Linked DNA regions of Drosophila melanogaster. The gene in region 4 interacts genetically with the main gene of each other region. Each region holds a gene or a part of one and is shown on either strand. Other genes may lie near its edges. The genes, in order: Bx, kto, sxc and skd.

What was found.
Region 1: of skd (region 4) and Bx, changing one suppresses a phenotype caused by changing the other (phenotypic suppression), as found in Drosophila melanogaster (one study listed by BioGRID).
Region 2: of skd (region 4) and kto, changing one enhances a phenotype caused by changing the other (phenotypic enhancement), as found in Drosophila melanogaster (one study listed by BioGRID).
Region 3: of skd (region 4) and sxc, changing one enhances a phenotype caused by changing the other (phenotypic enhancement), as found in Drosophila melanogaster (one study listed by BioGRID).

Annotation. Positions count from the first base shown.
Region 1 is NC_004354.4:18,563,378-18,573,733, reverse strand, and holds Bx (beadex), read right to left. Parts: upstream 7,429-10,356; 5' UTR 7,323-7,428; coding exon 7,110-7,322; intron 7,039-7,109; coding exon 6,596-7,038; intron 6,224-6,595; coding exon 6,098-6,223; intron 3,171-6,097; coding exon 2,798-3,170; coding exon of another isoform or gene 2,465-2,797; 3' UTR 2,008-2,464; downstream 1-2,007.
Region 2 is NT_037436.4:19,833,941-19,841,306, reverse strand, and holds the start of kto (kohtalo), read right to left. Parts: upstream 4,694-7,366; 5' UTR 4,632-4,693; coding exon 4,019-4,631; intron 3,958-4,018; coding exon 1,290-3,957; intron 1,216-1,289; coding exon 1-1,215. Other genes in the region: CG32221 (uncharacterized protein), read right to left, coding at 5,070-5,186, 5,262-5,953, 6,017-6,506; trc (tricornered), read left to right, coding at 7,215-7,366. UniProt on the Drosophila melanogaster protein: Component of the Mediator complex, a coactivator involved in regulated gene transcription of nearly all RNA polymerase II-dependent genes.
Region 3 is NT_033778.4:5,303,912-5,311,392, reverse strand, and holds the start of sxc (super sex combs), read right to left. Parts: upstream 4,106-7,481; 5' UTR 3,895-4,105; coding exon 3,741-3,894; intron 1-3,740.
Region 4 is NT_037436.4:21,022,771-21,030,303, reverse strand, and holds the start of skd (skuld), read left to right. Parts: upstream 1-2,869; 5' UTR 2,870-3,164; exon of another isoform or gene 3,165-3,376; intron 3,377-4,099; exon of another isoform or gene 4,100-4,174; intron 4,175-4,755; 5' UTR 4,756-5,283; coding exon 5,284-5,352; intron 5,353-7,533. Other genes in the region: Pdss2 (decaprenyl diphosphate synthase subunit 2), read right to left, coding at 413-1,219, 1,399-1,588, 1,647-1,996. UniProt on the Drosophila melanogaster protein: Component of the Mediator complex, a coactivator involved in the regulated transcription of nearly all RNA polymerase II-dependent genes.

The DNA.
Region 1 (10,356 bases), on a different chromosome or scaffold from region 4:
AGCATTTCGGGCAACAAAGGACATTTTCATAAGCACACTGATACTGATTATGACACCAGCCAAAGACAAAAGAAACCAAAATCATCCACCCTCTCAGCCCACCCTCGTGTCCTGTGACCAAAAGTGCTGATAAGCAGCCCAAAACTATAGTTATATATATCCTTGTATAGTGGTGCCCCCCAGGGGCAGGGGAGGAGTCCCCCCATCGGGCGTCCTCCTCTCACATGTGCCCGAAATCGAAATCTATAAATGACTTTTATTGTTATGGCCTGTGGCGGCGGCATCGGCATCGGCATCGTCGTCTTGGTCCTGCATGGTGGCTGTTGGCTGATGGCTCCTTGGATCCCAATCCGCATCGAATAAGACGGCAAACTTTTGCATCGTATATTGAAAAGATGCGCTATCTCCATGGCAAAGTTTTTGCGGTCGTCGCAGACAAAAGACGCGTGTTCCCTTTTAAAGTTTCATTAATCAATGGCTCGGGTGGTGGATGTGGATGTGGCTGTAGCTATTGATGTAGCTGGAGGGGTTCAGCCACAGCTCCGGCTATAGCTTTTATTATTTCAATTGCGGAACGGTGCCCGGGGCTCAAAAATATGAGGCATCATTTATCAGGCCGCCATTCCACCACTCCACTACGTCATACCATTCCGTTCTGGTGCGGATTGGCTGTCTGGGCTGTGGATTTCAAATTGGCAGCAACAATGCCGTGATTAATGGCCGTCAAAGCGAAAGAGTCAACAAATGTCAAGCGACAAACTGCAATTGGCAATTGGAGGGAGGGGGGGTGGTGGTGGTGGTAAAGAGGACCAAATCCCAAAAAACCCCATACCATAACATATACCATATACCATACTATACCATGGTAGGAATCCCTTGGCCCGCGATGAAATGAATGCCAACACAAGTGCGGGTTAATTTTTTCAAATGTTTGTTAATTACATTTATTGTTTCCTTTTGTTTTTGCATTTGCATTTGTTTTTATGTTTTTTTTTCTCTCGTTTCTCTTTAGTTTTGATTTCTTTCACTTGCAATCGTTCTGGCTGCTTTCATTATTACTGATTGCCGGCCAAAACTCGGATTATGGTTTGTTTTTGTAATGTATATATATGCACGTATATATAAGTCTAAGCGGGTTTATCTTACACTTTAGATATTTTTGATTTAACTTTATGCCTGCTCTCTAACAATACAATACAAAAAAAAAAATATTGGATAATCGCTCTTACTTATTTCCGATTATTAGATATTATTACGATATTTAACATAGTTTCGGTAATTCGATAGATAGGTAGTATTGTTTATCGCTCGTAGATGATAGACTGTTGCTTATACACACACTTTGGTTTCTCCCGTACTTAGTATATTCGCTAGCTCCTTTCGAACGCTAATTACGCATATTGATTAGTGTTACATTAGATTGCAAAAAAAAAAAAGGATTAATAAATACATCCATATTGTAACTAGTTCGCTTGGTTATAGATATACACACGCACGCACACAAATCCTTAACTTTACATCGACCTATCTTAGGCGCTTTACATCTAACGCGCTGGATCATCGTGGATCTGGCCATCATACCTCATCTACAATCCATCTAGAAATCATCCAGCTCCAGCTACTTCTATACAACGTTCGCCGTGGAAAGAACATTCTTTAGCCTCGCACTAAACTAAACTTAAATAATAATCAACAACGTTGCTCCAACAGACTTAAAATGGAATTAGAACAAAAATCATGTGTGCTTAAGTCGTGTGCAGAATGTCTCAATATTTACACATCAAAGTTCACTTTTGCCAATTGCCCTCTAGCTCCTCTAGCTCCTCATCATCTATCTCTCTTCATCTGACTCTACTCTACGATCCTGCGGCTCCTTCGGATTCGAAGGACACATGGAAAATCGAACAGTGATCGGTGGGGATGTTTAGCTCTCTCGATTTCGCAGGTCCACAAATCCGATTCTCTCCACCAGGCCGCCCTTGTCATTCATTCCACATTCATCAGTTTAGTCCTTCGTTTATTTTTTTTTTTTTTTAACTTTTTGGCACTGCTTTGAATTTCTTTTGGCACCGCACGCTTCGAGCGTGAAAATAAAATTATTTATGCATATACATAGATAAATACGAATATATCTATATGGAGTATGTAAAAAAAAAAAAAGGATCCCGCTAATACGTCAACAGTTTACAAGGAAAATATGTACAGTATGTAGTGGAAACGAAAATAAAACTAGTTTAAAAACAAATGGGGCGGTTATTCTCGAATAGAACTAAGTAAACATATTGTCTCTTAAATGTTAGGATCTAAAAATGTCTGCAAATTCAGCAAGTACTTTTCTGTAGGCTAACTAAACTAGGCCTTTAAAACTATAAAACTTGAACTCAGTCAAAGCAAACGAAGATTTGAATATCGATTCTGGATTTCTGCATCCTTTCCGCTAGCGTTTTCTCGCCCGTCGATTTCCTCAGTTGCGGTTGTAAAACTTTCTTTGGTAGCGCTTGCAGCCGCTTCCGATGCTGCCAACGCCTCCTCCTCCTCCTGCCCCTCCGCCTGGTCCACCGGCGGATCCTGCTCCTCCTCCTCCTACTCCTCCACCGCCGCCCATTCCTAGGCCCAATCCCATGAGCTGTTGCTGTTGCTGCTGCTGTTGGTGATGCTGCTGATGCTGGTGCTGATGCTGCAGCCCGAAGCCCGAGTAGAATTGCTGACTCGCCGCTCCAACTCCAACTCCAACTCCAGCGCCGACTCCAGATCCCGGCACAACAGCCCCAGCGGCACCCATGCCCAGGGCTTTATTTTAGCTGGACGCGCCCAGTTGATTCTTCATATGGGCAGCGGCGGCGGCGGCAGCAGCAGCAGCGGCAAACGGTGAGCCACCGCCGGTCGGTGTCTGTGGGCCATTGTTGTTGTTATTGTGATCGCCAGGGGTGCGCGGTCCGTTGACCATGCCCACGCCATTCACATTGCCGCCACCGGGTCCGCCGCCCAGCAATCCACCAGCGGTATTCTGCGCCCCAGCCGCTCCCGTCGGTGAGCCCTGGCCCAAGGAGGAGACGTGTCGCTTGAGCATCGGATGATTGGCCATCGATGCGAAGACCAGGCGCTCCTCATAGTCGTACTCGCAGAGTATCTTGTTCTCGCACAGGTAGAAACGGTCGCCCACACAGAATCTGAAATAACCGGAAAACGGCAGTGGTTAGTACTACGGCACAACAAGTCGCAAAGGAAGTGGAAACGATTTTTCCACACGCTTAGGCAGACCCAGAAATCGGTGGGGGGGAATCAAAGGCATAAACACAACGACAAAGACAACGACAGCAACGATGAGCGATGACAATTGACAGCGGTTATGGCGACTGTAGCTGCCAGCCAGCCCGGCAACTCAGGAACTGTCGTCTAAAAACAAAAGCAAAACGGTTCCAAAGAACAAGGACAGCTACTCAGGGAATGGCAGACGGGGCGGGACCGAAACAGGACCAGCACAAGGACAAGGAAGTCAGATAAGCGCTAGGCAATGTCGCTCCGCTGTCAGCAACAGTTGGTGTGGCAGGAGCATGGGTCTGGAGCAGAGGAGCCTGGAGTGCTGGCTCCACTTCGGTTGGAGTACGGAGTCGAGAGTGTACATTCAGCCAACTGCAAATAAAGTTGGCTCCCGGCATGGAGCCCTTTGTCAAAATATTTATGTTAGCACCTGTACGGATGGCGGAGGCGGATGCCACGCCCACTCCGGCCAACAGCAAACAGATACACTCGATGCAAACCGAAAGGGAGCTCGCATTACAAACGAAAAAAGCCGAAAAAAGAATACGATTCACTTGGGGATGAGATGGAGTCGCGTTGAGCAGACGAGTTGATGTCCTTTGAAACCAGCTAGATCTGGTATTGAAAAGTGAGAAAGACCAACGATGATTGTGCTTATTCCTTAGAATAAAAAAGACAAGGGGTAAACGTTTAGAGATACTACTACTACTACTTTCTTATCCGCTACAACTTGCAAGTTGCCTCGAACTTTATCCATCCTTTCCATCACATATTCTGCTATCCTGATGCAATACTCTACGCCCTCCTCCTCCGCCGGCGTATGCAAAAAAGAAACGTTTAAAGTTTGATTCCCCGAGGAGGACGGGGCACGGGAACACACTGCATCCGTTTTGGTAAGGAGTCTGAGTAAATCAGCTTACAGCAGACTTACAGCGGATATGAAATTTGGCTTTTGATTTACGTCAACATTTTGTTGGCCCGCTGCTTTCGGTTGCGTGGCCAAATCGATTGACGGCCCATGTGGGCGTGGCAGGGAGCAGTGCACAGAAATCTGGCCGGCCGGAGCGGGCAAAAAAGCGCTTTGTTTATCTACCAAAACAGGGCAACAAAAGTCCATGAAAACGAGTCAACAAAGTCGAAACTTTTGCTTCTTTTGCCGCTGGCCTGGCATTGAGCGCACCTGTGACATGGCGATGGCGATGGCGATGGCATTGGCATTGGCGATGGCAATGGTGATGGCTATGGAAATGGACACGGACATGTTGATAAGTGAGTGCCTCTGTGCGGGACTCGCACATCCGGGCATTTCGTTCGCCTCCTCTCCGGCTCCATTCCCCGTCGTTCACAAGAAACCAACAGCAAATTGTCAACAGGAAGCACACATACCAAAATAAAATGGGGGGGAAAAAAAATTGTGAAAAATTCGCGTGGACGAAAGATTTGACTTGGATGCGACTCCAATCGCAGGAGAGCAAGGATGTCGTCGTCCAGTGCTGACGACAGGAAATTATGCAAACCTCACCGACGACTGCAATGCATTTTGCAGCATTTCCCAAACAGCAACAGGACCCAGGACTCAGCGGTAGGACTCAACAGGAAAAGTCTTTTTGTTTGCCAAATGAAAGCCCGCATTTTAAATGTGGCCATTCGAACCATCCGACCAACCAACAAGGCGGAGCGAAGCAGCCGCTGGCCATGTGGCCACGCCTCAATGGATTTTTTCGGCAATTGAATTAATTTACGTGAAAAATTGATTAGCAACAGGAGGGGATGCATCTCCACTGGTCATTTTTATGGATAACGTGGTGAAATATGGGATAACCATGACCCATCATACTCTCAATCTTTTGATATTAGTCTAAGCTAAATTTGCATTAGTTCTATATTATATTATTCTAGCGTAAACAGGATTATAGAAAAGTCAAAAGTTAACCATAATGGCATCTCCGCAAGGGTGAACTTCTCCAAGTTCGTTGCTCCTGTTGCATTTTTAAAGCCAATTCTCGGCAATGCAAAAACAAAGGGCCAGCAGGAGCGCAAAAAGCGGGGAGATTCCCGGATAAGGAGCGGTGGCCAAACGGGTGGAGACGATTCTCACAATATGCCAATATGTTATAACATTTATTTCAATATTTTTTACCAGCCAGCACCGTGTGGCGGCGCTTTTAATATTTAATGTTCGCTCCCTTGTTGCGTTGCACAATCGACGACTATGCCGGAGGTTTCTGGTGGACCGGGAGCCACGAAGGCATATGTGCGCCCTCATTATTAATGCAGAAACCCGAAACGAAAACGAAACCAAACCAAACCAAACGAAACGAACCGGCCAAAATGGAAGAATGAGACGCGACCCCATCCACCGGGCAATCGGGCTGCAGTTTAAAGCTCTCCAGAGTGACATTTCACGAATTGGCCAAGTCCAATAAAATATTTGAGGCCTTGGAATGCTGGGCGTTGACTTGATGGCACCCAAAAGGGTTCGGTTCGTTCGGTTCGTTCTGTTCAATGCGAAATTTATGCGGTTTTCATAGAAAACGTATGACACTAAAGGGCCATTCTTCCCACCCCGTTTGTTTAGCCGTTAGCTTGTAAACGATGGCAATTTGCTGTCTGGCGGCACGTTAATAAAACTTCAAGTGCCACTTTGGGCCCGCTCCGATGGGCCAAAGATTAAAAAGGGATTCATGTGGCCACCTTCAATGCGAATCTCTGTGCAAATTGCCCATAAAAATGCATGCGAAATCGTTTAGTCGCTTCTCCCACACAATGGATGATGTATGGTCTGCCCCACAATGGGGCAATGGGCCAGTTTGGCCAAATTCCTTTCGATGCTCACCTGTGGTTACACTGCTGACAAGCGAAGCACTCCAAGTGATAGACATTGGTCCTTGCACGCATCACCATCTCGAAGGCTGGGATCACCTTGCTGCAGGCGGCGCAGTAGCCCGTGTTGCCAAACAATCTGCGGGGAAAAGTTATGAACAGATTAGTAAAAAGTTTGAAGTTTATATGGTTTACATGGTTCTGACTTCTTTAAGTAAACATCTTTACTCTTTGCTATTAAATTGAATATGCGTAAAAAAAAGCTTTAGGTAGAATAGGTACTGTTTAAATATAAATTACTCTTAGCAAGAAAGCTTCTTAAAGTCTTATAAAACTAAAAATAAGTCACAGAATATAATGAATACTTTATCTATAAGCATTATAGACCTGAGTTCTCAAGAATTGGTATCATTTTTAACTTCTAACATGACTAATGAATACCATCGTCTATTATACTTCTAGGTATATTACACTATCAAATGGTTTTAGTATTTCTTAAATCGCAGCTAACCTCAAGTAGTCCCGCTTGCAGAGCATCAGGTTGCCCTTGGTGTAGAGCGTGGAGCCCACCTCGCCCAGGCGGCAGTCGCAGCAGCCGCACTTGAGGCAGTCCTCGTGCCACAGCATGTCCAGGGCGCGGAGGAGATAGCGGTCCTGGATGTGCTTGCCGCAGCCGGCGCACAATTGGCTGCCGTTGTTGTTGTTATTGTTATTATTGTTGGCAGCGGCGGCGATGCTCTGGACATTCCCGTTGCCATTGTTGCCGCCACCGGCACCGCCGGAGTTGACCACATTGACCACGTTCCCATTGCCATTGGGATTGGGCCCGTTGTTCTGGCCACCGCTGTTCATGCCGGCGTTGCTTTGCTGCGACTGCTGCTGCTGCTGCTGCTGTTGGTTGGAGGAAAGCCCGACGAGACCGGGTTCGGTTTTGGTAATGTCCATAGTCATCATCTGCAAGGGGACAGGAGAAGATATAGTTATTACTCAAGGTTCCATCGCCGGAGTTTTGTGTGTGTGTGTACATTAAGGCTACCGAATCCCTGGTAATAACTGTAAGCGGAAGGGGCAAATCCCCAGGGCCACTGATAAGCGTACTGGGGCACGTATTGCCGCAGGATCGCCTGCTGCTCCAGCTCAATCGACTGCACGTGGGGCACGAAGAACTTGTCCATGTTGTAGAAATTGACGCGTTCTTCATCTTCGCAATGCATACTAGCGTTGTAGAGGTACTCCATTTCGATGTTTTCCTGTTTCCTTCGATTTCAACAGTTTTCTTACAAAAATGACCCGCGAAAGATCAGAAAGCTACTGAGTCTTCTTCTAGCAGTGTTGGCAGTGTTGGCAATACACAAACAAAATAACATTTTATGGCGTGTAAACTATCGTATGCTACTAAGTTCTCAAAAGAAAATAGCTCTTTTGTAAATAAGATGCACTAATCAATGCATTGGACTCATAAAAATAGTTTGGTAATTGTATTTTTGTTATATCAAATAAATTTTTTATAGCATTTTCCTTATTGTAAATTTCTTCAAGTGTCGGCCACTGGCAAAATGTAACGGCAATTATCAGCTGTGGCACAGTGTTGTGAAATGCGCGCCTCTGCGATGGCGTCAGTGTACAAAAGATCACTATTATGCAGCATACTTTTGGGCTGACCACTAAAGTGCACATTGGATTCGCACACAATTCGCAAACTATGCAAAATATTAATACCCCTTTGAAAATGCAATTTCCACAATGAAATGGTGTAATATTCATATTTTCATGACATATTTTCAGCTGAATAAAAAAAAACTACTTCTTCACTTGGGCTCGTCCGGGAATTGAACCCGGGACCTCTCGCACCCGAAGCGAGAATCATACCTCTAGACCAACGAGCCTCGTTGAATGACCCGCTGCTAATCACCCAATAAAAAGTTAGCGATCGTTTTTCGTACTTTCTCCTTTCGTTCAGCACCTTGCTAAGAAACTCAACCAGCGATGTTAAGGAACTTGGAATTTTTTTTTTTGGCCAATTACGATAATATCCCATATTTTTGGACTCTCTTCAAATAGTGCTCGTAGCCCCCAACATAGTATGTATGTATTATCCTCAACTGTTGTCGCCCGATAACGTTGACGTTAACAGAAACCAGCAAAGCGAGCAGCCAACAACAACAAATCAATACAAACAAAAGGCCCATTTACCCATACACAATTTCGTGGAATGCCAAGCGGCGATTTAAAATAACGAGATTTATGACAAATTGGCGCCCCCCATCCCTTGCCAACGCTAAATAGTTTGTTGCAATGTGCAAATTTCAGCAAGCAGCGAGGAAACCCTAAAAATATGCAATGCCAGCGATGCCGCAATGCACTCACTACACTGAACAATGCGGGGAATCATTGCATCATTTTTTTTTTCAAGAAACAACAAATAATATTTAATATTTATATATAAAAACAAGAGATAATTGTGTTCCTAAATGTCCTTGGCACAAAGTAAGAAGCTTATTTGGAATTTAAAATAATCTGCCTGTCAGCGAATCTCTTCAAAGTTTCAGTAGAAACTTTAAGTACTTTCACATTTTATTTTTCACAGTGCATCATTCTTTGCCCGCCGCAGAAGTTGTACACACAATGTGTGCCGTGTCTGGTTCTGCCTTTGGCCGCCTCTCTTTTCGCTGATTGCCCTCGTCCGTGTCCGTTGTCGTCCCTTGTCCGTTGCCCCTGTCCGTTGCCCATCGCCGGACAACCGGGCCAAATGGCTCGCATTAAGCCCTGCGCCATGTAGCGCCAACTGTGACCTCGACTTGACCACGGCCCAGAGAGTGGGCGTTGTGGGTGTAGGGGTTATGCAGCTGCTGGAAATGACTTTAATTAGACGGTCGCCTCCGATCCCCAATACCCACGTGCCCCCTCCCATCGCCAGTGAGTCGTCGGAGGGCGGGTCGAAAAGTCATCAGCAGTTGATGCCCGCCGGCCAGTCGACGGGGGCATCCAGAATGCCAGATGGGTTGGTGCAAGTGGATGCCTGGGTGGCTGCCACTGGACTGCTGCGCCGCCGACTCATAAAAATTCAATCAAATCAATTTATGTAAATTTAACGCGACGTTTCAAACAATAACAGGACCGGACTGGTGGACCGTAGGAGTGCAGGCCGGGAAATGGGAAATGGGGTATGGGGTATGGGGTATGCAGCGCATCAAAACTCAATTTTGGCAGCTGCAACATGCAACGCCAATGTGGCAGCGCAGACTGCATTGTTATTTAGTTTAGACAAATGAAATCGAATGCTAAACGCTGCTCGGAAAAGCGCGCGTCCATATTAGAATTTCATTTTCAATTGCATTGCCACCAGCGAACGCCCATTCACTGCCAAAGTGGGCGTGGCTGCATGAATGCTTTATCAGGCCACCGCCTTCCTTTCCACATTCCCAACCCCCCCTACTGCAGTTTCATAGTTTTGGCAAACACCCCCACCGGTTTTTCTCTGTGTGCTGGGGACGCTCAATTAATTTATGCATTACATTCCCACAAAATGCTTTTCAATTTGCATCCAATTTTGGAACGATGCAGAGATAGGCCGCTGGCAAATGATCTCGCTGCTGCTGCTGGCAGTTTGATTGATTGATTGACTCACCCACTGACTGACTGATATGTAATTAGTTTAGTTAGACCACGATCGAAGTCTTTAAATCCAGCGCTGATTTGTGCCTAACAATGGTCCACTAAGGATTTCTCCTATTCTTCGGGAAAGTGAAGTAAGTTAGGGCAATTAGAGCAATAGTCCCATCAAGAACTGAAACACATGTTTGTCCAAGGGTTCGGAGTTGTCTTCTATTATTTTAGCTTTAAACGTTGTCTTTTCATATAAGCAAGGCTTCGATTATAATTATTATTTTACACATTATTCATTAAACGCACTTCTGATTTCGTAGTGCCCCAGGCTGGGAAATCCGGAATTCTTCCGTCTGTGGAACCACCCTGGGCACCCCTCATTTCCGCTCCCCTAAGCTCCTTCCTGCCCACCACATTCCCGTCCCCCGGTCACCGAAAAAGCCTTTACCAAACTAATTGCGCGACCAACGACACTCATTAAAGCCAATCAATATTCAAATTTCACGTGCCAGGTGAGCTGGTGAGCTGGTAAGCTGGTGGACTGGTGGGCGGTTCATCGTATTCCGGTCAGTGGTATAATACCCGAGGGTGCCTCCTCCTTGTGGAGACCCGCTGGCGTTTTCACAGTTTAGTTTGCTAAGCGAAGGGTAATGGGGAATGGGCCGC
Region 2 (7,366 bases), 1.2 Mb from region 4:
TCCAGCCACGAGATACGCAGTGTCCACTGTCCGAGATTCTCTAGTATGCGTACGATCATTGAGCGCTGATCCAGTTCGGAGATGATGTTAAACTCAGGCTCCGGATAGCAGATCATGTGCAGAACCCGCTGTGCCTGTTTCGCGGTCAGCATTTCGTCGATTATCATGTCGCAGAGTTGCTCTGCGTTCTTTAGGCATCTTTCCAGAACGTGTTCCTGGGCGCAGATCTGCTTGAGCACCGCCTGGGCGAACTCCAACAGCGAGATCTGCTCCATTCCTCCGACCGATGGCTGTTGCAGGGCTTCGGGTTCGCTTGTCAAACTGCTGCCCAATTGTAAATCGCTGGTGCCCAGGATCTGGCTGAGATCGGCCGGTCGTTGTTCGTTGCTCTTGGGTGTGCTTCCCGGATGGACCGGTGTATTGAAGCCACTACGCTTGCCGCTTCCAAAAGCTCCGCCCAATCCGCCAGAGGAGGTGCCGCTGCCGGAAGCCAATGGTGTTTTAAGCGCCGCATTGTCCACAACAATGAGAATGGCCTTGAGCACGGCAAGCACTGCGGCAATGGGAATGGTCTTATGGGCACCCACCAGAAGATGACGATCGCAGCTCAGCCGAATGCTAAAGTCGTTTCCCACAGCGTGCAGTGGATTCGGGGAAGTGCTTACCGAGTACATGCCAGGTTGAGGAATCTCCAAGGTCTTAAACAGCTTCAGCACCAAGTGACATGTAAGACGAGCACCTGCCTCTGCATCTACACTCAGTTCGGCTCCACCAGCGCTTACCGATCGGGCCAATGTAGGCAGGGCGAACTTACTTACAAAGTCGGCTAGTGAGAAGCAATGTCTGGCCACCAGAATGCATACGAACACGGCCAGGGCGTTGTGAGTCTTAAGTTGTCCAATGTCGACCTGTCCGCCCAGGTGCGGATAACGCGGACTCTTACTGCCGCTGCACAGACTCTGCAGTGCGTATATCCACTCCTCAGACAAGACGTTGCAGCTGGCGGTCAGTTCGGCACATGCGAGGGCCACATCGTTCAGCCGCTCGTTGTCCGTCTCTCGGCAGACGGCTATTAATGCGTTAGACACGAAACTGTATACATTGGCCGGCGACTCGTGCAGGGTTCCCAGCCAGTGAGGATCCAGTTTACCACCGCGTCGAGGGGCCATGAAAAGCTCCTGCAACAACAGTGGGTTGTAACCCTGAGGTGGTAGGCTAAATAAAAAATGGTAATATTTGTTAATATTATATATTATATTATTGGGGAAGAACTTGCGATCTAAACTCACTCAAGCTGCTCTGGAGTGTTGAATATGTCCTTGAACCGCTTGATGCACTGCAGCTGCTGGTAGTACTCCGTGGATTGTTCCTTTCCCTGGAGCAAAACACACGACTCGTGTAGGTCGCTCAGGTAGGCAATAATGCAGCGCTCCGCCGAAGTGCACTCACTCGGATTCGATACGTGCCGAATGGTACGACAGACTCCCTCAAAAACAGACAGCGTCTGCTCCGGTGAAAGAAGAAGGCAGCTGTGGTAGCGCCGCAGGATGCTGACGATGTAGAGGGCAAGTGAAGTGGTGTAACTGCGCACTAGGTTTGACTTCTTTAGCTGCAACTGGTGCTCCACCTCAGGCAACTCCTTCAACAGACTATCGCACAGTTCCAAAAGACTGTAGATATTAAGAGCCAGCTCCATCAGATCAAAGAGGAACGCCACGTGCTCCTGTACCGGCAGGTAGTTGTTGTTCCCTAACGCGAATCCGTTCAGCTGCTCCAGGACATTGGCCGCACATTGGGCTGTGACCACATGCTGGTCGAAATAAGCCATCTGCTGGCACTTGGACGTGGTAGCTTCGAAGTTAAACTCGTTGCGCGAGTGCTTCTTCACATGACCGGCCGCCGCCACATCTATGCTAAACTTTTTTGTGAAAAGCTTTCCAATTTCCTTAGACATCTTCTTGACAGCATGCTTCTTCTCGTCCCTCTCTTTGCCGACTCCGAAGAGCAGGATGTATCGCTGGTTGCTTTCACTGCTGTAGCTGCTCATGCTGGGATCATCCTGGGGGATGGGGAAGTGCTTGGTGTACACGTAATGCCGCGATATGCTACCGCCAGGATTGGTTTCTCCATCGCCTGGAGGACCAATCTTGGGACTGTCTGGAGCTTCGTGCTGTTGTCCTTTCTCCTTAATATTTTGCACCAGTTTGTCCAAATCGTCGTCCACATTGGAATCATCAAATTCGTTGTGTTTGAAGTCCAGGCCCCCGCCGAATCCGTCATCATCGAAACCGTGCGTCGTCGTTGGTGGTGGAGCTGGAGGTGGCGGCGATGTTTTCGTGGCCGTTGTTCCTGATTTGATCACCAGCACCGACTCCAGGAGCAGATCTCCTCGTGAAATTAGAGTGTGCATGTACGCGTTGTGCGAAAAGACATCGTGGCGAATCAATGCACTGAACAGCTGAACAAGGTTGGTAAATTCCGTGCGCTGCTGTGGACTGCTCACGTGCTCATCGAGGACGGGAGCATCGTGGTCAAGGAAGTGCATTAACACGTGCTGAAACACAGGCAGGCCATCAATTAAGCCGGCGCCCGAAGCTAGCGAGTCCTTGTCATCCTTATCACTGGATTGTTGATCCGCCGGCGTGCTTGTCACGTCGATCTGGCGCTTGTCAAGTAGAATGGCCACCACCATGGCTCTGTGTTCTCCCCAACGCTGCCCCGACACAGCCCACTCGCACAGAATGCGTACCGTGTCCTTGTCTTGTTTGGGTTCATAAGGCGGACGAGGTTCCACCTGATCCTCCTCCCGCCTGCGACTGACAGTTGGGCTGGGAAATATTTGTGCGTATAGGGTATCGATACTATTATTGTGTTCCATGCGATCGAAGCAGTGCGTGTCCAAGTGGTCCAGTGTAGCCAGCACACTGGTGTATTGATTCTTGCCGGCACTCAGCCACTTGGCTGCAAACCAGCGCTGCTCTGCATGCTGAGTGCGCAATACGATGTCCGACTCGGCGGCCCGCAATTGACGTCGAATCTCGTGATTGGTTCGCGGACAGCGTGTGGGCATCGGCAAGACTGAGGGCGCCAAAGGCAAATGGTCCAGCGGACTACCCAACAACGAGGAGGGTGCTCGGTGAGCTGCTATCCCACTCCAGACCAGAGCTGTGGGGCACTCGATTGTGATGATCTGTAGGATCGTGCTTAAATACAGCACTATATCCCGATGATGGGGACAACTCATTTGTTCCTGAAGCGCCAGCTCATAGGGATCTTGTTGCAACTTCGGCTCGTCCAACTCTTTGATGGTCTGCTGTTCTACGACAGTGTTCAGCAACTGGGCCAGTTTTTTGGACACTATGTAGGCCATCTTTCTGCAAAGACGCTCCGACTGGACGAAGTCGTGCATGTACTGAAGGGCAAAGCTGAGCACCAATTTCTTCAACGGTTCGTCGAAGCTTGCCTGCGTACGCATCTTGTCCAAAAGGTCGAGGATCCAGTTTAGAAATTCCTGTCGGTCCAAAAGTGATTCCTCGTACATGTACTTGCTCAATTGGTGGCAGTATTTCCAATACTTAAGCGCATTGCGACTATCTTCGAACTGGCTTCCAATTCCAGAAATTGTAGAGCCTGGTGGAACTGCAGCTCCTGCACCCGCTGCGCCTCCTACCACAGAAGACCCCGGCCCACCGACTACTCCGCCAAGGCTTCCCGTCGTCGGCATGACACTGCCGGCATTCACTCCTCCGCCAGGAGCTGCCTGTTGGCCATTAGCTGGGCTATGAATCGGTGGCAGTGGACTGGCCATGCTGGGTACCGGGATTACGTTCGTGGAAGCACTGCTACCGGTGACGGAGTTAATAGAGCTGGTGCCAGTGGAGCCATTGCTGGCAGGACCATTACCGGCGGCGGTCAGGCTTCCGGAAGTGGTGCCATTCGAAGAGGACTTGTCGTGGTCTAAAATCAAGAAGTTGAATAAGGGAGTTGATAGATTATAGAACTTAAGGACTGTACTCACTCTGCTGATAATACTCTTGGAGCTTGGGAAGCAGCTCTTTCATGAACTTGATCATGTTGCCGGTCCACTCGGCAGCCGGGTCGTAAATGGATCGCTTTTTGTTCTTAGACTCGGTGAAGCTAAGCGTATAGGCGGCGCTCAGCTTGATGAACCAGGTGGCGCGTTGCATGTTCACCTGGTTCTCGCACAGAGTAATGAAGATCTCCTCCTTCTTGTTGAACGATGGAGCCCGTTTGGCTAGGCTAAGTAGGGGTTTGTTACCGGCGAGGTCCTTAAACCAGGCGTCCACCGTACACTTGCGACGCGGCGAAACGGGCCAGAAGTTGTCCTTGCAGTTGATCTGCTGCTTCTTGCGCCCCGTGTCCGGCAGGGTCATCAGCTCCTCCTTCTTGGCCAGGACGCCGCTAAAGAATGCGCTCACTTTGCTGGCGTTCACATTCGAGTTGTGGGCCGTACCGAATTCATCGGACAGCGGTGGCGTCGTCGTGAATCCGTGCTTCACATTCGTGGGCGTCAGCTCGTCCTCTCGCTGCTTCGCGTCCTGCGGATAGATGTCCGGCGGACCCAGACGGGTGCGCTTCAGCGGACGCTTCTCCTGCAGCATGGACAGCATCTTCGCGGCCCTCTAGTTGCGTTTTATAAACAGATTTTCTTAGCGAATTCCCGATTTCCTCTGTTCGCCAACCCAACAACAAATCAAAATATCAGTGGTGGGGCGAAAAAATGCGATGAGCCATCGATAGTTCGATAACATCCCGCGAACAATCTAGCGGATGCAATCGAATTTAAGCTAAGTGTTAAATGGTTGTAAATATTACAAATGTAATCTTATCATGTTCAGCCACACATCCCCAATCAACCTGATACAGTACTTTAAATATGACGTAATTTTTTAATTATGCAGTGAAAAAGTTACATCGTTGTGCACTAACAAAAGAAATACCACTCAAAGTGGTAAGATCACGAATAAAGCTGCGTATAAATATTAAATAATTTACGTTGTATTTTTGGTAATGATTGAAGAAACATTCGTTGTTAAACGAATAAGGCCTCACAAGGCTTGGCGATCGAATTCCGGCTCATCGGCATAAAAGTGTCCGCCGCTTGTCATTCCATCGCTGCACTCGAAGTTCAAACAGAGCATTTTCAGGGGAAATTCGTGCGGTAGCTGCAAACGAAGCACAAAGTGTCACATTAACATAAGGACTTTCGAATATATGTATGTGCTTTAAATATTACTCACCCGTTCCATGATGTCATGCCTAATGTCAGTGGCCGCGGCAAATAGCTCTAGGGTTTGATGAGCTGAGCGTTTCGATAAGCTGGCCAGCGTGTCCAAGACGAAGGCGTCTGTGATGCCCAGGCAATAGCAAATGTTCAGATACCGAAGGCGCTCATTGTTGGCCACCAAAAGGGAGAGCTGCGTTTCTCCAATCTCACGAGCGGACTGTATGGAAAGGCACTCTAATCGACTCAACTTCGCCAAGTGGTGAACACACAGATCGTCACGAGGCTTGCAGACCAGCCACCGGAGACACTTCAAAGCACTGATGTACTGCGCCTGCTCCTCGTCAATCCAGCGTTTGCGGTGCAGGATGAGGTATTCCAACTGAATGGAGCACTGGCTTTTGGCCAGTGCCTTGAACAGGCGCGTTTTCATATCCTCCGAGCAGTATAATTGCAGGTACTTGAGGTTTACAAACTGCGGCAGGACCAACAGATCGGCGTCGCAGTCATTGAACGTCAGCTTCTCCAGGTGGCGGCAGTTGGTGGCCAGCATCCTGAGATTGCTGGTAGTCAGAAAGCGTTTGGCGTTGCGCAGCTGAAGGCATCGCAGCTTCCTCATGGGTTTCACAATTGTTGCGAATTCCGAGGCGGTCACGTCGTCGTACAAGCCAAGTTCCAGCATCTCGCTAAACTGACGTACTTCTTGTACTGTGAAGGGAGAAGCAATTAAATAATATTGTTGTGATAAGGTGAACATTAAATAGTTCTTACACTCCTTGCGTTCAAAGCTCTCCAGGCTCAGACTGTTGACCCGCGGAAGGTGTATCCCAATGGCTTTTATTAGATCCTTGCTGGTGCTCTTGTAGTTACGCACGTGCACCTTTTCCAGGGAGCTCATCCTCAATAAATACGGTTGCGCCCGTGCCACTGTTGCATTGTATATAGAGATGGACTTCAGTCGGTAGCAGTGTCTGCTGATCATCGGGAGCAGCTGCAGCGGGTGATCATCGTCAAAGTGGGATTCCAGTGTACCGATGCGACTGCCACAGAGCCACAGAAAGGTGCGCCAATCCTCCAGAGTCCTTATACTCATATCCTTGTCAACAACATCCTGGAAATCATGGCGATGCAGGCGAAGAAAGGCATCCCTAAAAATGCGACAGCATCGCGCCAAGTGCAACTGGTCCTCCAAGCTTAGAAGCTTGAAGATGAACAACAGAGAACTGGGGTCCAAGTCCAGAATACTGGTGATGCGGGCCATTATTAGCTGACTATGCTCATTGCGCGGGACCGTCACAGGCGCCAAATGGCCAGATTAGCAAAGGCAACTGGTTTATGTACGCCTGACATGGAAAAATTTATCCCAAGTCGGTAAGTTCTATTTATTTACTAATTGGACTGGTGGCAGTGATGACAATTTTCGAAGTAAGAGTCTTTTGGCAAGATTCAAGCTAAAAGGTTAAAGCTAAGATATTTTAACTATTGTTTAAGCTTTGTTTCTTAATAGAATTACAGTAAATAATAACATGACCTTAAAGTAAATTTAAATAAATTTAAATTTAATCAATTTTAATTAAAAAAATCAATGTAAGTAATAAGTAACGTAATTTCAGTACATAAATTTTATACAATTGTCGGTGAAAGCTTAATTGTCATGACTATCTGCGAGCCAAAAGCACTAAAGTTCTAAAATCAATCGATTAGCTATCGATAGCCCCACTGGATCGCAGCCAACTTTGCTTTGTTGGGGATGCAAAATGCGAATGGCTCTTGAAGAAGAAGCAGCAGAGGGAGGAATTTCAACAAATTACCGAGGAAAAAGGCAAGAAACGGGCGAAGAAAGCAGTGTGTGTGCATTGGCAAGTGCATAACTCCTCACCACACACACGCACACGCACCGACATCGCAGGGAGCACACACACAAGCCCCAAATAGGACCGAGGTGACCAGGACAAAAACCCCAGCTTAGATGATGAGCAGCAGAACGCAGGACGCGGACGGTGCCTCGATCAGATTCAGCGACCACACACTGGACAAGGCCACCAAGGCCAAGGTGACGTTGGAGAACTACTACAGCAACCTGGTGACGCAGTATGGCGAGCGAAAGCAGCGCCTCGCAAA
Region 3 (7,481 bases), on a different chromosome or scaffold from region 4:
AACGCGTATATGTGTGCGTGTTGTGCTAGAAGACGATTTTCGGGCCGAAATCAATTCTGATCAAAGAAACGAATTTACATATTTGGGGAGTTTTGGCCAATTTCGTAGCAATATGATGAAATTGCGCGCTGTTTAAAAATATCAAATTGGAATAAAACAAAAAAAACTGCAACTAAACAACTGAATCTAATGTGCATTTTAAATAATATAAATCGATCATTTACATAAATCATATTAAGTCGAAGGACTTAATAAATATACTAAATAATTAAGGCAAATGCAAAGGAAGTATGATAACTACTGTAATTTAAAACATAAATTTTCCAAAAAGAAGACATTAAATTGCTTACACAAGCACTCAACAATGCCTTATTAATTTTTCACACGTCGCAAGCTGAATACTCTAATGACAAATATTCTAATATAGTCATTTTTGAAATTTATTTTGTGACATTATGATTCGGCTATAACTATTTCTAAGCTATATTTAAATAATAATGACGTTAAGGCAAGCAAAACAAGAATTTTCCGCATGATGCCAATTGATCAAAAATAATATAGATATATAGATCAAAAATAATATATATATAAAAATAATATAGATCTATAATATAGATAGATAATATCTATGAACTTCTAAGGTGAAGGGCATATTTTGTCAAATTTACAATGCATGAGCATACGTGTGCACACATACAGTTGTCTGCTATCACTGTATGCGTAGAAAAGAGCTCTTTTGCTCTCGAACTAAAATTCGAGAGAGCCTGGAGCCACCTCTACACTATGGGGCATTTGGCCTGTTTTTTTTTACAAAAATTAATACCTCCTAAACTATTGGAGATATTTGGATGAATTTTTTTTTATGCGTTACACATGCCTCCAGGAATATTTTGAAAAAGTGGCCGTGCCCCAACTCCGCCCCAATTTTTTTTTTTTTTAATATATTATATTATAATTTTTTTTAATAATATATTTTTAAAGTTTATTTTTAATTTCAATATTGTATAATTCATAACCGTCTTCCTCTTCACAATCGGCAGAGTCTGAAGAATTTTTATCAGGTTCAAATTCGCAAGCTAACATTTGAATGACTTCTGGTGGAAGAGATAGTCGCTTATGTTTTCGCCTCTTTAAATTTATTGATGATATTATGGGATCCGTAGTATCCATTGCTCTGTAAAAGACATCTGCGAAGCTACTAATAGTTTTTGCTTTGGCTGGGTTCAACAAAAGAATTTTAAGTATGGCTGCAAGATCCCGCAGGCAGCACTTCCGTACAGCTTGAACCAAAAGACATTCGTTGTGATTCTGCGCCCTTACGAGTTCATCTGCTTGCTGTCTTCGGCCACTCAAATTTTTTAAATAATATGACGTTTTCGGGAGTCCAGCTAATTTCCTTTCCTTTTTATTTTTCTCCTTTACCTTCAGGACTAGGTGTTCTTCTAACCAATTTGAAAAACTTTCAAAAATTCATTTATTTTTCGATTGCATTTTCTCCAATTTCGCAAAAGATTGACTGAAATCATTCGTTATTAATATTATTCGTTAATCGTTCATTAAAGTCTAGCTTGCTATCAGAAATATGCCCACTGATAAAAGTGCAAATAGAATTTTCCTTTTGACGAACAACCTTTTGCTTGCGCCACACTTCCAGCAGGGCAGCATTGGAAATCGAGATATTGCTCCCTAAAAAATGAAATTTCTCAAGAAACCGCAAAAAACGCACATAGAGACTACCTGATATGAGTTAGAAATTGAACACACTACAACATGGATATAAACACTTACTGAACAAATTTGAACAAATTGTTGTAGCTCTATTCAAAGTTTAAAATTTTTTCAAACAACTACATGTTGACACCACTTGCTAAATGTACAAATTGTTAGAAATAGGCGCACACAATAAACAATATATTAATAACAACACATAATAAAAACCTAAAGATTGATTATCTATTTCAAATTATACTCTCCTTCTTCTTCTTTTTAAATTTTAACACTTTGAAAGTTAAGCTAAATTTTGCGCGCAAAGCAGCCACGTGATATATGCTCGCAACAGCCGACTTTAACAGCTGTTATTATAACGGTGCATTGTAAAATTAACTTTTGCGGGCTGTATCATAACAGTTTAACGTATTTCCAATGTATTAATACTAAAATACTTCAAATTTGCATACTTGTGAAAAACACATTATTGTAAAAAAAACAGGCCAAATGCCCCATAGTGCTCTAGAGCCACATCGAATGGCGTTACGCATCTTGTTATTCTGGTGTCTTTGGCCGTACCCTTTGGTCGAGTTCCGCAACAGATTTTTAAATCAATAAAACATAGCAAGGCAAATAATAAAATGAAAACAAAACTTATTTTTAAACTTCCTTCTTCACACTGAATATTATTTCGTGCAATTATCAGAGGAAGTAATCTGTATAAGCTTCATACTTTAGAGAAGGCAACTAGATACTATGCTCAAGAGATAATTCCTCAGGTACAGCAAGGAAAGATGATTGAGACACACACTGAGAACTGCAGACACATGCATATGTATGCAGATTGAAATACAGGTATAGATCATACACATCCAGATTCAGGACTACCCTAAAATGGGCCGAGTCAATGAGTTTTCAAGATCTCTCACTACGCAGTCAATGATATTCTAGAAATAATACAGTTTAAACAAATTAGACTAGTGTTAAGCACTTCAATTGGTGCAGATTAACCAACGGATATGCAGGGTAACGAACCCTTGAAATTTCAAAGGACACATCCGAAGTTGTCTGCTGTAGTTTGTTCGTACAGTTTAGAGGTTTCAAACCAATAAGGTATTTCAGCACCGGATTCTTAAATTTGTTATATAAAAAAAAAGCAATTTTCTAATCGTTTTAGAAAACAAAAAGGTGTTTTTTATGCCGCAGCTTATTTTGTGCAGTATGTTAATATTCAATAAATGGCCATTTTAAACCTAACAATTTTTTAATTTTAATATCCGAGATTGATCCAACTTCGCGGAGAAGCGGAAGCTTCTCCCTAAAAGAAAATACTGTATTGAATGAAGGCCGAAAAGCACCGAAGAACTTTTCAATGAATACCAAATAATATATGTACATATATGTAATATATGTTGTCAAAAATTTAAAAAAGGAAAAACGTGCAAGCTACAGCAGAACGAAAAAAAATTTAAGTGCAAAGTAAGCTTTAAGCCAGAAAAAAAAAAAATTACAATAAAAAATTTAATTTTAGATGGAGTGAGAGATAACATTATAGACGAGTTTCTCGACTACCAGATACCCCTTACAAGATACGGCTTTAATGAGGGATGCACATTTAGAATACGGAAATCGTCTGTTTTTTAACCATGTCAATAATTCTTTCAAAAATATTGCGTTTACATTTTTCTGGTATCTTTCATCGAAGCAATGCCAACATAAAAATTAATTTAACTACACGAAATAAGCTCAGACACTGAACACTGATTTTTATGTTGTGTGAATTTTTAGATGCGTACACCATATGCATCTCTTAATATGTTGTTAATATGAGACACATTAGACACATATCTATCTCGGGCCAGGCATAACCAATTGTTTGATTTATTGATTTTTCTTAATTTAATTGTGGTTGTCTTCGCTGTCAAACTTATTCATTTGCATTAATGTATAAAGTATTTAACTAGATGTATTCTTTAAAAAAATCAATTACAAACGTATGTACATACATATATAAATGTATGGTTATTTCTTACCGACTGATGAAAGAGATTGAATGTCATTTTGTTTTACGACTAGGTTACTGCCTGTTGAATTCGGATTTTGATCTAATAATATATGGGCCGCGGACGGCAGTTGATGGCTCTGTCCTTGAGACTGCATATTTATTCGTGTTTGTTCAACATGCATTAAAATCCAACGTTGATAACATGTGTCTAAAATCAATAAGCCACCCTTAAGTAAAGACACTGTGATGTTGTTTACATGATTAAACCTTTAAGAAAGAGAATATCAGTAAAATATCAATATGAATTGCATTAAGTTATAAAAGCAACCTGATTTAATTATTTTCAAACATCCACTCAGCTGTTAATACGATTTACAAGAGAAAATCAAATATTTACATACTCAAATATTGAACACTGTGAACAGCAACTTAATAGCTTATACCCTATTCTTACGGCGGCAAAAACCATATTAACATAATATCAATGTTATACCAATGATATACCACATATAATTTCAAATGAAGAGAGAATGGTATTGTCGAGTCAATCAGATAACCGTTAGTCAGCTCGTGAAAATGGGAACACGAAATTCATTCATCATTTTTCTGGGATATCGTTAAATACTGGGATATAAAATAAGAACAAAATTGTTTCAAATTGATCAAAAGTTCGGTCTTGACCGGTTTGGAAGGTGTAAGAAGGGCCGTGGCCGCGAATTAATAGAAATTGTATACAAAAATCAAAAAATTTCAAAACATTTTGAAATTGTTAGCGTTAGAGTGGTCATGGCAAAATGTTTTCTGGCAAATTCATAGAAATTTAAAAGAAAATAAAAATATGAAAGAATAATAAAACATTTTACATAAGTGTAGACGTGGCAGTTTTGTCCGGTATGTGTGCGTTGGATTGCACATGGCAACATGGGTTAACAAACTTGCGCGGCGCCTATGTCTCTAGAATCACATATCACATACAGTTTGTCAAGAAACTGTTTACACACTGTAAAATAAGTTGAATTTTTGACTTTAAAGCTAAAAATAAAGGGTTTTTTGCTTAATTAAACGCAATTTTTTTTATAAAATATAATCAAACAATATTTATTTTACTTATAAATCAAAAAACAAATTAAAAATATTAAATATACAAGAAAATAAACAACAAATTCCAAGTTTACACGCTTTTAAGACTGTCAAGAAACTCTCTTTATTACAGTTGCGGTAACAATAATAGCATCATAAGCACATTTCGTGTTTGTCCCAGCTTTTCTCTATTTTCTGACACTTTCTCATTATTTTACTCACTAAACTTAAATACTACAATGATTTTCAATCGAAATAAAAAAATTAGTAACAGATCTCATGGATATTTTAAAAATAATTGGTAAAACAAAAAAAAAACCTTCAAATTTAGGCGGTAACAAACATAGCACTGTTTCTCGTAGTTTGCTTGGGATGCGATCGGGTGTGGTACCGTTTTGGTTTTAAGACTCCTCTCAGCCGCTAGGATCTCGGGCTCCGTGACAGGCCGCAATTCGTCTCCGCTTGGCCCGATCTGGGAATTGGGAATGGCAGACCGAACAGGAACAGAACGTTAAAGATGTTTTCCAGAGCAGATGGATCGCTTTCTGCTGCGACGCAGACTTTCAGAAAGCATTCACGATTGCTGGCTCTAATCGTTTTCTTCGGTGAATTCTTTGTGACCTTGTATTCCGTATGGCATGCTTCCAGACGCGTGGTGCCACGAGCTCTTTGTACGAGTCTCGTTGCGCGTAGGCTGATGATGCGCTGCAAGGCAATATCCTCGCTCCACCAGAAAACCAGGGTGTGGTGCCTTCGGTTCGTTTTCCTCATTCGCATGCTTTGGCCGCAGGCCTCCTCCACCCTCGCTACTATTTTATCCGCTGCTGCGATCACAAGTTCGCCTCGTTGACCGTCAGGTAATGGAGAATGCCGGCGGACTCTTCTAGACTCATGGTGTTCTGTCGGTAGGCCTTAGGTTACTGCGTGTTAGCCCTGCTCTCGATTGCCTTTGTGCCTATTTCGACCTGGATCGCCTCGTGGTCACTGACTGTGACCACCTCCTTGATACCCCAACAGGAGAAGCGAGCGAATGGACTGCTTATGAACGTGAGGTCGATAATTAATCCTGCAACGGCACTGTTGAACGTCCAGCCTAGCGAATGTTTCGAGATTTAATTTGCCCTTGGGAGTTGTGTGTGGCGACCACACTAGAGCGGCCCACACGTTAAAGTCCCATCCGACCACGACGTTGCACCGTTCTCGAAAATCGCAGGTAAGTATAAGCAGTTGTATAATTATATATGAAAATGCATTGAGGCTTAAGAATTTTTCATTTGGAAATTATATATGCTTACAGTATTTGAATTATTTAAAATTATACTGCTAATGTTAATATTAAAAAATTCGTTATTCTTGAATATTTGTTATATTCGTAAATATTCTTTAAAAAATAACAGACAGAAGGGAGCGTTTCCGACCATATGAAGTATTTATATTCTTGATCAGGGACCAATAGCCGAGTCCGTATGAACGTCGAGATCTCAGGAACTATGAAAGCTAGATTGAAAGCTAGGTTAAGATTCAGCATACAGATTCTAGGGACAAAGGCGCACACACACTTTTAAAAACACGTGTTGATTTTTTTTACATTATTATTAATATTGTAAATTTCTATCGATTTGCAAAAAAAAATTGTTGCCTCGCACACTCTAAAGCCCTAAAACTGCCACTCGCACAATTTTTCAAAATTTTAGATATTTTTTTATAATTTTGTTAGTCTTGTAAATTTCTATTGATTTGTCATGCCGACTCTAAGGCTTTAAAACCGCCCAAGACTGAAAATTTGTTGGATATTTTGTTATAATTTTATTAGTCTTGTAAATTTCTATCGATTTGCCAAAACACTATTTTCCACTCCCACTCGAACGCCCTAAAACCGAGCAAAAGTGCCACGCCCACATTTTTGAATAATTTTTGGATATATTTTCATAACATTTTTAGTCTTGTAAAGTTCTATCTATCTGCCAAAAAATTTTTGAGACACCCACTCTAACGCCTTAAGCCGCCCAAAACTGCCGCAATTTCAACTAGCTGAGTAACGGGTATATGATAGTTGGGGAAGTCGGCATACTAAATTTGTTGAAAATTTTGTATCATGTATGTTGAGCTAAGAAGCCTTTTTATTAGCTATTTTAAAGAAATGAACAGACGAGGCTTCTGTAGCGATTTCGAATAGCTGAATAGATAACCCAACATTTTTAGCCAGAGTAGAAATAAGGGCGAAAATAGTTACCCGAAGAGCGCTGCAGGAGGTGTCACACATACATACAATATAAGCGCATGACTGCTCGTTGTTAGAGGTACGGTTCCAACTATATCGAAATCGATGGGGCAACTGGTTGGACGACGGCTCTCTTGATAGCTACTCTGATGACGCTGTCCCCGCCGGATATGACTTCCTGGATGCGCTCAAAATGACATCTCAACGGTGGAATGTTGTCCTCCTTAAGCAAAACTACGACGCGACACTTGCGTTTCTCTTGGAATAGGGACAAATACTCGCAGCTCAATCCTTTCCAGGAGTGTTGTTGCATCAGGGTCACCGTTTACATCTGCCTTCGCGAAGATAAATGAAATTTTAAGTTCTCTACGACCGATAACTGTGAAGTCAACTCCCACCATGACGAAAAAATTGGTCTGGCTATGCGTCGTCCCATTCCACCTTAGCACTCCATAGAGATTGCAGAAA
Region 4 (7,533 bases):
ACTAATAACATTGATTGTGACGATATTTTTTTTGGAAAATTATTGGCTGCAAATTGGGACTCTTGCCTTGTATTTCAAGGCTGCGAAAAAAATCTTACAGTCTCGAATGTTTCCAAATCCTCCAATTCTATGTTATGTAAATATGAACATACAACCTTTTTTATGACGAACTATATTTTCCCTTATAATAAAAATGAACTTTTGCGATACAAGACGATTTACAAAATATATTTTTGTGACCTTGCACCAAGTATTACTTGAAGTTCAGAAAAATAAAGCATTTAAACTTTACTTTAAATGAATCATTAAAGATTAGTCAACAACGTCTGCTTTACTGAAAAATTACCCAACGGAATAAATACAACTAACCTAAGCCCTGAACCCGTGAAAAATCAGTAACTGCTGCTCGGGATCAAAGATCCTGCATGGCCAGAATGATGTTCTCCAGAGCCTGTCGAGCGTCCGTCGCCGGGAAATGTTGCAGAACGGCCAGGGCAGCGGCTGTGTGCTTCCGCTGCAGTTCCTTGGTTTTGGCCAAAGCCGGCCCGGCCAGAATGGCCTTGTGGATCTTGTCGTAGTCGATGTTATCGACCGACTGCTTGCCAGCCTCCAATTGAGAATACATGCCAGGGTCGTGCTCCAAGTGGAATAGGACTGGAGCACTAACCAGACTGAAAGTAACATCTAGCGGCAGTTGGGGGCACTGAAAAGGTTCGGCATCCAAGCAAGCCTGCCAAGCGAGCGCCAAATGTTTGCCAAAGCGGTAAGCATGTCGCTGCAGTTCCTCACTCTGTCCGGCCAGCTTTAGCGAAGCTTGGCAGGATTTGCCCAGCAGGCTACCCGCATTAAGGATATTACGGCACTCCCATTCCTCCTCCGGATTGCCGAGAACCTGGGCAATCGGCATTGGCGTCATCACGTCGTGCTCGTTGAAATCCACTCCAACGCTGAGAGATGGTCGCTGGAAGGTTCCTGGCTTATAAGGCAGCGGGTTGTTCTGTTCATCACGCTCTCCAATGAATTCCGACTCGGAAAAATCTCGCACCGCCGACGAGATCAGCTCCACCACCTCCTGGTTGCGCAGATTAGCCAGCTCCGCACTGGAATGGCCCAGAAGATAGTCGCCGGTCAGCAGGCCGATCTTGTTGCCAAACGACATGTCGTCGTAGGTGTCCACATCCTGCCCAGCCTGCGTGCTCGATTGCAGATTAACCACGCTCTAAAATGGGACCAAGTGTAAATATTTTTATAATCTATGAGGCATCAGCTCGACCAATGACATATTGATGTTCGTTTCTTGAGTTTCGTCAACTAAATTTGAGGAAAGTTAAACTCATTTGCATACAAACCACTTTCAGTTTACGAGTAACTTTCGAATGCATTTGATCAAAAACTTACATTGTGCACCAGATGAGATATCCGTATCATCTCGGTGACCTCGGCCAAAGCCCTTTGGGAGTGCAGCACTCCGGCACTCTTGTCCTGCTCCACGTCTGGAACACTGGGTGCATGTCCTGCGGCCTTGGACACCAGGAGCACTATCAATCCCCAGGCTTGCATCGTGTTCTTGCCATTGTAGAGCAGGTGCCTGAAGCGGAAGATTCACATAAATTTCAACGCCCTATAAGCCCTTCAGCACCACTCACTTGGCCGTCTTCATCAGCGGATGGGCGCTGCCCACCAGTTTGCGCAGGTGCAGCGCCACATTGGCGATCTCGTCGCTGAGCAGCCAGCGCAGACTGAGGAAGGATGTGGGATAGCCGACGATGCGCTCCGCCTCGCTGACCGCCCTATTCCAGTCGTGTCTCGGGGGCGGGGTCGTAACCTGTGGACTGGCATGCTTTCCACTGGTCGTCGTCGTCGAAGTCCAGCGCTGAGAAGTGAAAGTTTGCAGCGCAGGCGCAGCTTTGGCCACTTGGAGTGGCTGCAGTTCGACGGGAATCCTGCGTCGCATCTGTTGCATAATCCTTAACCCACTGGCGCGGTACATGGCCATTTTCTAGTTATTTTCGCCTACAACACGACTATTTTTTTCAATTGCTTGTATGAAAATCGCGTTTCTTAGCTCCGCTCAGTTAAATCGTTCGTCGAAAAGTGAAATCTTCGAGGTCCGTCGCTGCTTGCGTCTCTGCCGACGTCGCTGTCGGCGTCACCTGCTGCCTACGCTGCTTCTTCTTCTTCCCGGGCGGCCCACTTTTACAGTTGGTCGCTGCTCCGCTCTCAGGTGGCCGCCAAGCGTTCTGTTTGTTTTTATTGCCCCACGCAGTGTCATGGAATTCCGAGGAGGCGGCGCAGGGGGTGTGTAACGGCGGTCTTGAGCGGGAACAGGTTTTCGCACGGCAGCGCCGCTTCGGTGCACACTTTTTGGCCATGGGGAGTACGGTCACTCTTAGGGATGGGAACACAAGTGGCTGGTGTTAGCGATGCAATTGGATGCTAGTGGTGACAAAACACTTATTTGTTTCCATTTTAATAGATTACAAATTCTTCTATTGTACAATTTATTATAGTTTGTATTCACCTTTAAAAAAATTTGTTTTAAGAAGGATCAAACAATCAGTTGACGGAATTGATTCAAACAGAATAAAAATATCTTTTATTTTACACTTCATTCCAATCACTTTACGCATTCGCACCACTTAAACCATTTCATTAAAAGGTTTCTATAACCGTTATTAAATTAAATTTAAGAGATCCTTTATTTATTTATATATAAGATGTGTAATACCTTTGAAGACATAGAACAAATAATTTAAAAAATATACCATTCTAAATTAAGAAGTATTAATTTGTTGTATATTTTGAACTTCCCATTGTGAAGACTTAGTGTTCTGTGGTATTTATTAGTGCTTTTGTGCCACCTCTTTAGTAGTTTTCTGTCTGTGCTAGCTGGCAACACTGGCTCTGCCGCCGACGGCAAGTTTTCCCTCATATTTGTTGCGAATTGTTATAAAAATCGATCGCAGATTTTTCCGTATGCGAATGCGATAGATAAAGTGGCACAAAATGTAAAGATTCAAGACAAGTTTACATCGGTAGTCGGAAAGAACATCAAAAACGGCGATTAAAACGTAGAAAAGTGATCAAAAATGCAAATGCAAAAGCGATTGCCCGAGAAGTGAGAGGGTGTGCGTGTGTGCTGTATGCGTGTATGCGTGCAAGAGGTGCAGCAAATTAAATATAAATAATAATGCCCAAGTGCCGTTGTTTGACAAATAATTGTGGCGCAAAATCATTAAATGATTTTCAAGACGTGTTTAAGCATTGGCAGCGGAAATGTTTAATGGTTTTTAATTGCTCTAGCGGTCGCTGCCCCGGCGGTGTGCCTATGTAGTGTGTGTGTGATTGAAAGAAAGAGGTGGAAAAGGAGGAGAGTGTAAGAAAGAGGAATATGCAACAACTGTGCGATTTTAGTTATCGATGGCATTTTTTTCCGGCTATTTCGAGTGGCCGAAAGTAAAAATCAGAAAATTTGATGTGTACACACACATTACTGCCCAGAAACAGAGAAAACGGTGCGAAAGGAAAACTACGAAAGTGGTTGCTCTGCCATGTAGGTGTATGGTTGATGCGTGTGTGTGTGAGAGGAATGCTGCTGCCCGTCTATGTATCACGTTTCGCACTCTACATATTTGCGTGCGTGTGTGTGCTATGTAGTGTTGTATAGTGCATAATTTATGGAATTTCGGATTTCCTTCGAGTTTCGTTTTAGTTTGAGATTTTTCCCTTAATTTAATCGATCTATGTGCTCGGTCTCTCTCTGTCTGCCTCTCGCTCAAAATGGTTGCATCCCCAAGAGATGCACAAAGAGCGAGCGAGAGCGAGATAAACAGACGCCGACGCCACTAACGCACACGCACACCAATGCATATGCAGTTAGCTGGTAAAACTTGTTTTCTCCCTCTCTCCTCTCTCTCACTCTCTGCTCAGCAAAAAGAGCAAAAGCCGCTATTCGAATTCGGCCGCTACTCGCCCTCTTCTGCTCTCTCGCCACTCGCCGCTGGTACAACTACACTACATACTGGCTATATACCATATATATGGCCGATTCAAAGCTAGGCGAGCAAAATTTCCATTGTGTGTGGCGACCAGCGTTCGCAGTCGGTTCGAAAATTTCTGACTCGTCATTCGTGCGCAAAAAACACTAAATACAACGCAAGAAATTCAAGCCTGAGTAATAGATTAAATATTAATAAATATTTTGAGCTACTGTTGTTTTTCGAAACCAAAAAATAGTCGCAGCTTCGAGTTTTGTGTGTTCACAGTACGTGCGAGTGCATGTGTTGGTGTTTTCCTTGATTACTCATCTTGATTTGCGCTCTATAAATGTGTAGTTCTTTTTGATTAAACATAAATTGGTTGGGTTTGAATTCGAATACAGCCGAAAACTCTTACCTATTTTATTTTGTCTACATCAACGATTAACGAAAATCCAACGACTTTCATCGTCGTTTGTGTGTTTCTAGAAGTAAATGTGTGTGTGCGGTGTATACTCGCTGCCTGTGGCTGAAAAAAGTCAATTTCTGAGTCGCTCTCTCTCTCTGCTTGCTCTCTTTTTGCATGAATGAAACAGCGAATGAACGAACCCTTGTAATTGTGATCTAGATGTGTGTGTGTGATTGAGTGAGTGTAGCAACAAATAAGCAAGTTAAAACAATAAGAAAATTAACTAATAAATGCATCTCTTTCGGAAAAGAAAACATATGCCAAGCGGGAAAAATGTGTGCTCAAAGTCTAATTCTTCTTATATTCCAGCTTTAACCAACAACAACAAAAGCAACATGCTTAATTCTACAGTATGTGTGTTTCATTGCCAAAGCAACGTTTACGCTAACATACTCTCCCCAGAGAGCAGATAAATACAAAATACACATAATAAAAATCAAAACCAAACATCAAATAGCAAATTACAAACAAAATCTAACACCACAACAACAACCACAAAATATCGAAAGTAAAGAAACGAGACGAAAGAGAGCTCTTCATTATTTGTGTATCCGTGTGTGTCGTCTCTCTCGCGTGTGTGTCCGTGCCTATACCGTTGTGTGTGTGTGTGAGAGAGTATTGCTGTGTGCGTGCAGCAGAATCAATAATAAAAAATAAAAATCCAAAATAAAAAGAGCAGAAAAAGCAGCAAGCAAATGTGCAAAATACTACAGAGTATCAAAATCAACAACAAATAACAACACATCGGATAAATAACAATAATAGCAATACACTATAAGCAAACAACGTTGAGAAAATGAGGTGCTGCTGCTGTGCGAAGAAAACAAGCCAAGAACTATGACGCATCAAAATCATCAGACAAACGGCGCAAGTTTGGAGGATTGCCACACAAACTTTTATGCCTTGGTGAGTACTGTGTTGATTTTCTGGGCAATTGTTTCTTATTTTTCGCAATGGGCTTTATTTTTTTTTGCTGCAGTATCTAGGTCAGTGTTGATGATTCAGGAGGGGTTGTTCTCGAGGGGGCTCATTGGCCTGCGGGGGTGTGTCACCCACTCAGAAACAACAATTTACATTACCGATCATGGGATCATCCTCTTCCCCACCCCTCTCTCGCTCGTAATCTCACACTCTTATCGATTGGTAGCCGAAATGTAGGCGCTGCCGGTCAGACACAGCTGTTTGTCGTTATCGCTGCAGAAGCTTCGCAAATATCCTACAGAAACTTAACATGAATGCAGCCACACGAAAATATGTTAAAACCAGATATTGAACTATTTATCATTTCTAATGTTTTACATTATGATGTCATATTTCATTCTTAGGGTCAATTGGCAATCTCTTCTCTTCTTTAATATTTATACATAAAATTGGGGCAATGTACGCACAAAAATTTTGAATGTTGTGATGTTTCAGTGTTTAATAAGTAATTTACTTATCTTTTGGTATGTTGATATCCAACAAATCATTAAATAGCCAAAGTTTAATCACTAAATTGTAATTTTGTTGTTTTTAAAGCAATCAAAACGGTACTGAATTTTTGGTAGAGTGTTAAATTCACTGACCATTTTTTAAAACGTTTAAATTTGTGTATTGCATTTAATTATCACAATTATAAATATACATTTTATAAATGCTCATTGAAATTTTAAACATGTGGATTGTCAAGACACTTAGCTCTTGGAGTATCTAAATAGAATGTTTAGTATGAGGCGTGTAGCTTTCAGTTTTCGGACACGTTCATTCCAACATAGTAAATTTCACGATACTTGTTATTTCTATAAACCTGTAGTAACTGAAAGTAGGAGAATCCGGGTGTTTACTGTAGCAGTAAAAACGGGTGACTTTGTGGCAGCCCACAGCGATTGTTGCTCTGTGACTTTGTGGGTAGCTTTGTGACTGCGGCTCGGTGACTTTGTGGCCCATAACAGGTTCTCCTTTTCCCCGAGACCCAAAGTCGAAACAGAAAACCCAAGACCCGCGACTGAAAACTGAAGACTCGGGGACTACGACTGACGACTAGTTTGTCGGCCCAGCTAGTTAGTGATTGTGCTATTGTCTCTCCGTTTTGGCATATTTCTTTAATGAATCTCGCGTCGAAAGGAGGAGATAGCAGAATGAGAGGGGACGCAGAAGCCGAAAAAATGAAACAGAAAAGCCGAATGAAATAGTCGAGGAAGAAGTGGAGGCGATGACGACGACACGACAATGCGTACAATACAAGTCAACGTGCTTCTGCTCCACTTCCCCGCTCTCTTTATTCCTCTGTGTCTGTTCATGTGTCTGCTTACAACTCTCTTGCAGAGTTTGGAGCAGCAAGAGAGTTGGATAAGTGGGGGGAGAGGGCCGACGCCAACGAAATAACGAAACAATAACAAACGCCAAACTTTCTCTGAGCGAGACGGAGAGCGTGGCGACAGAGCGAGACGGCGCGAGAGAGCAATTTGAACTTGAGAGGCACGCGAGTTAAGTCCGTGATCGAGGGTGGAGCCTTTTGTGAAGATATGATGTGTAAATGTATGAAGGTTTTTAAGTTTCAGCAGATAGTTGTAGTGTGAAGATTTCCAATAAAGAATACGACTGACTTTCTTGAAGTTCAAAATCAGTATGAAGTTTATTGTCAGAGAGTGGCTACTCGAGTCCTCCGTTTTCGTCTTATACATAAGTACATAGGTTCTTAATTGTAAGCATAATGAACATGCCGACTCGGCATGTGGCTGGCTAGCTGGGGACAATGTTGCAGTGCGACTTTTGTGTAATGTCAGCATTCGGCCGGAATGTCAGCATTCGGCCGGATGCGGTGTTCCAGTTGCCGTCTTCCCGGTTGAGTGTCCGATGATTTGTTTAGAGGCGTGGGGGTTTAGGGGGTGGGGTGGTAACTCCTCCCCCCCCAGTTCGAAGTGACGGCCATAGCGAAGGTATGGATGACGCGTAGATTGGTACGTGATGATCCTCGTGGATGTGGACGATGTGTTTCGTTCGTCGGTGCAGCCATAAGATGACTGCTAGGAACGTTACCAATCCGAGCAGAGTGTAGAGTGTCCAGGTGTGCTGTATAGTATTGTGATGGACGGCCAGGATTTTATC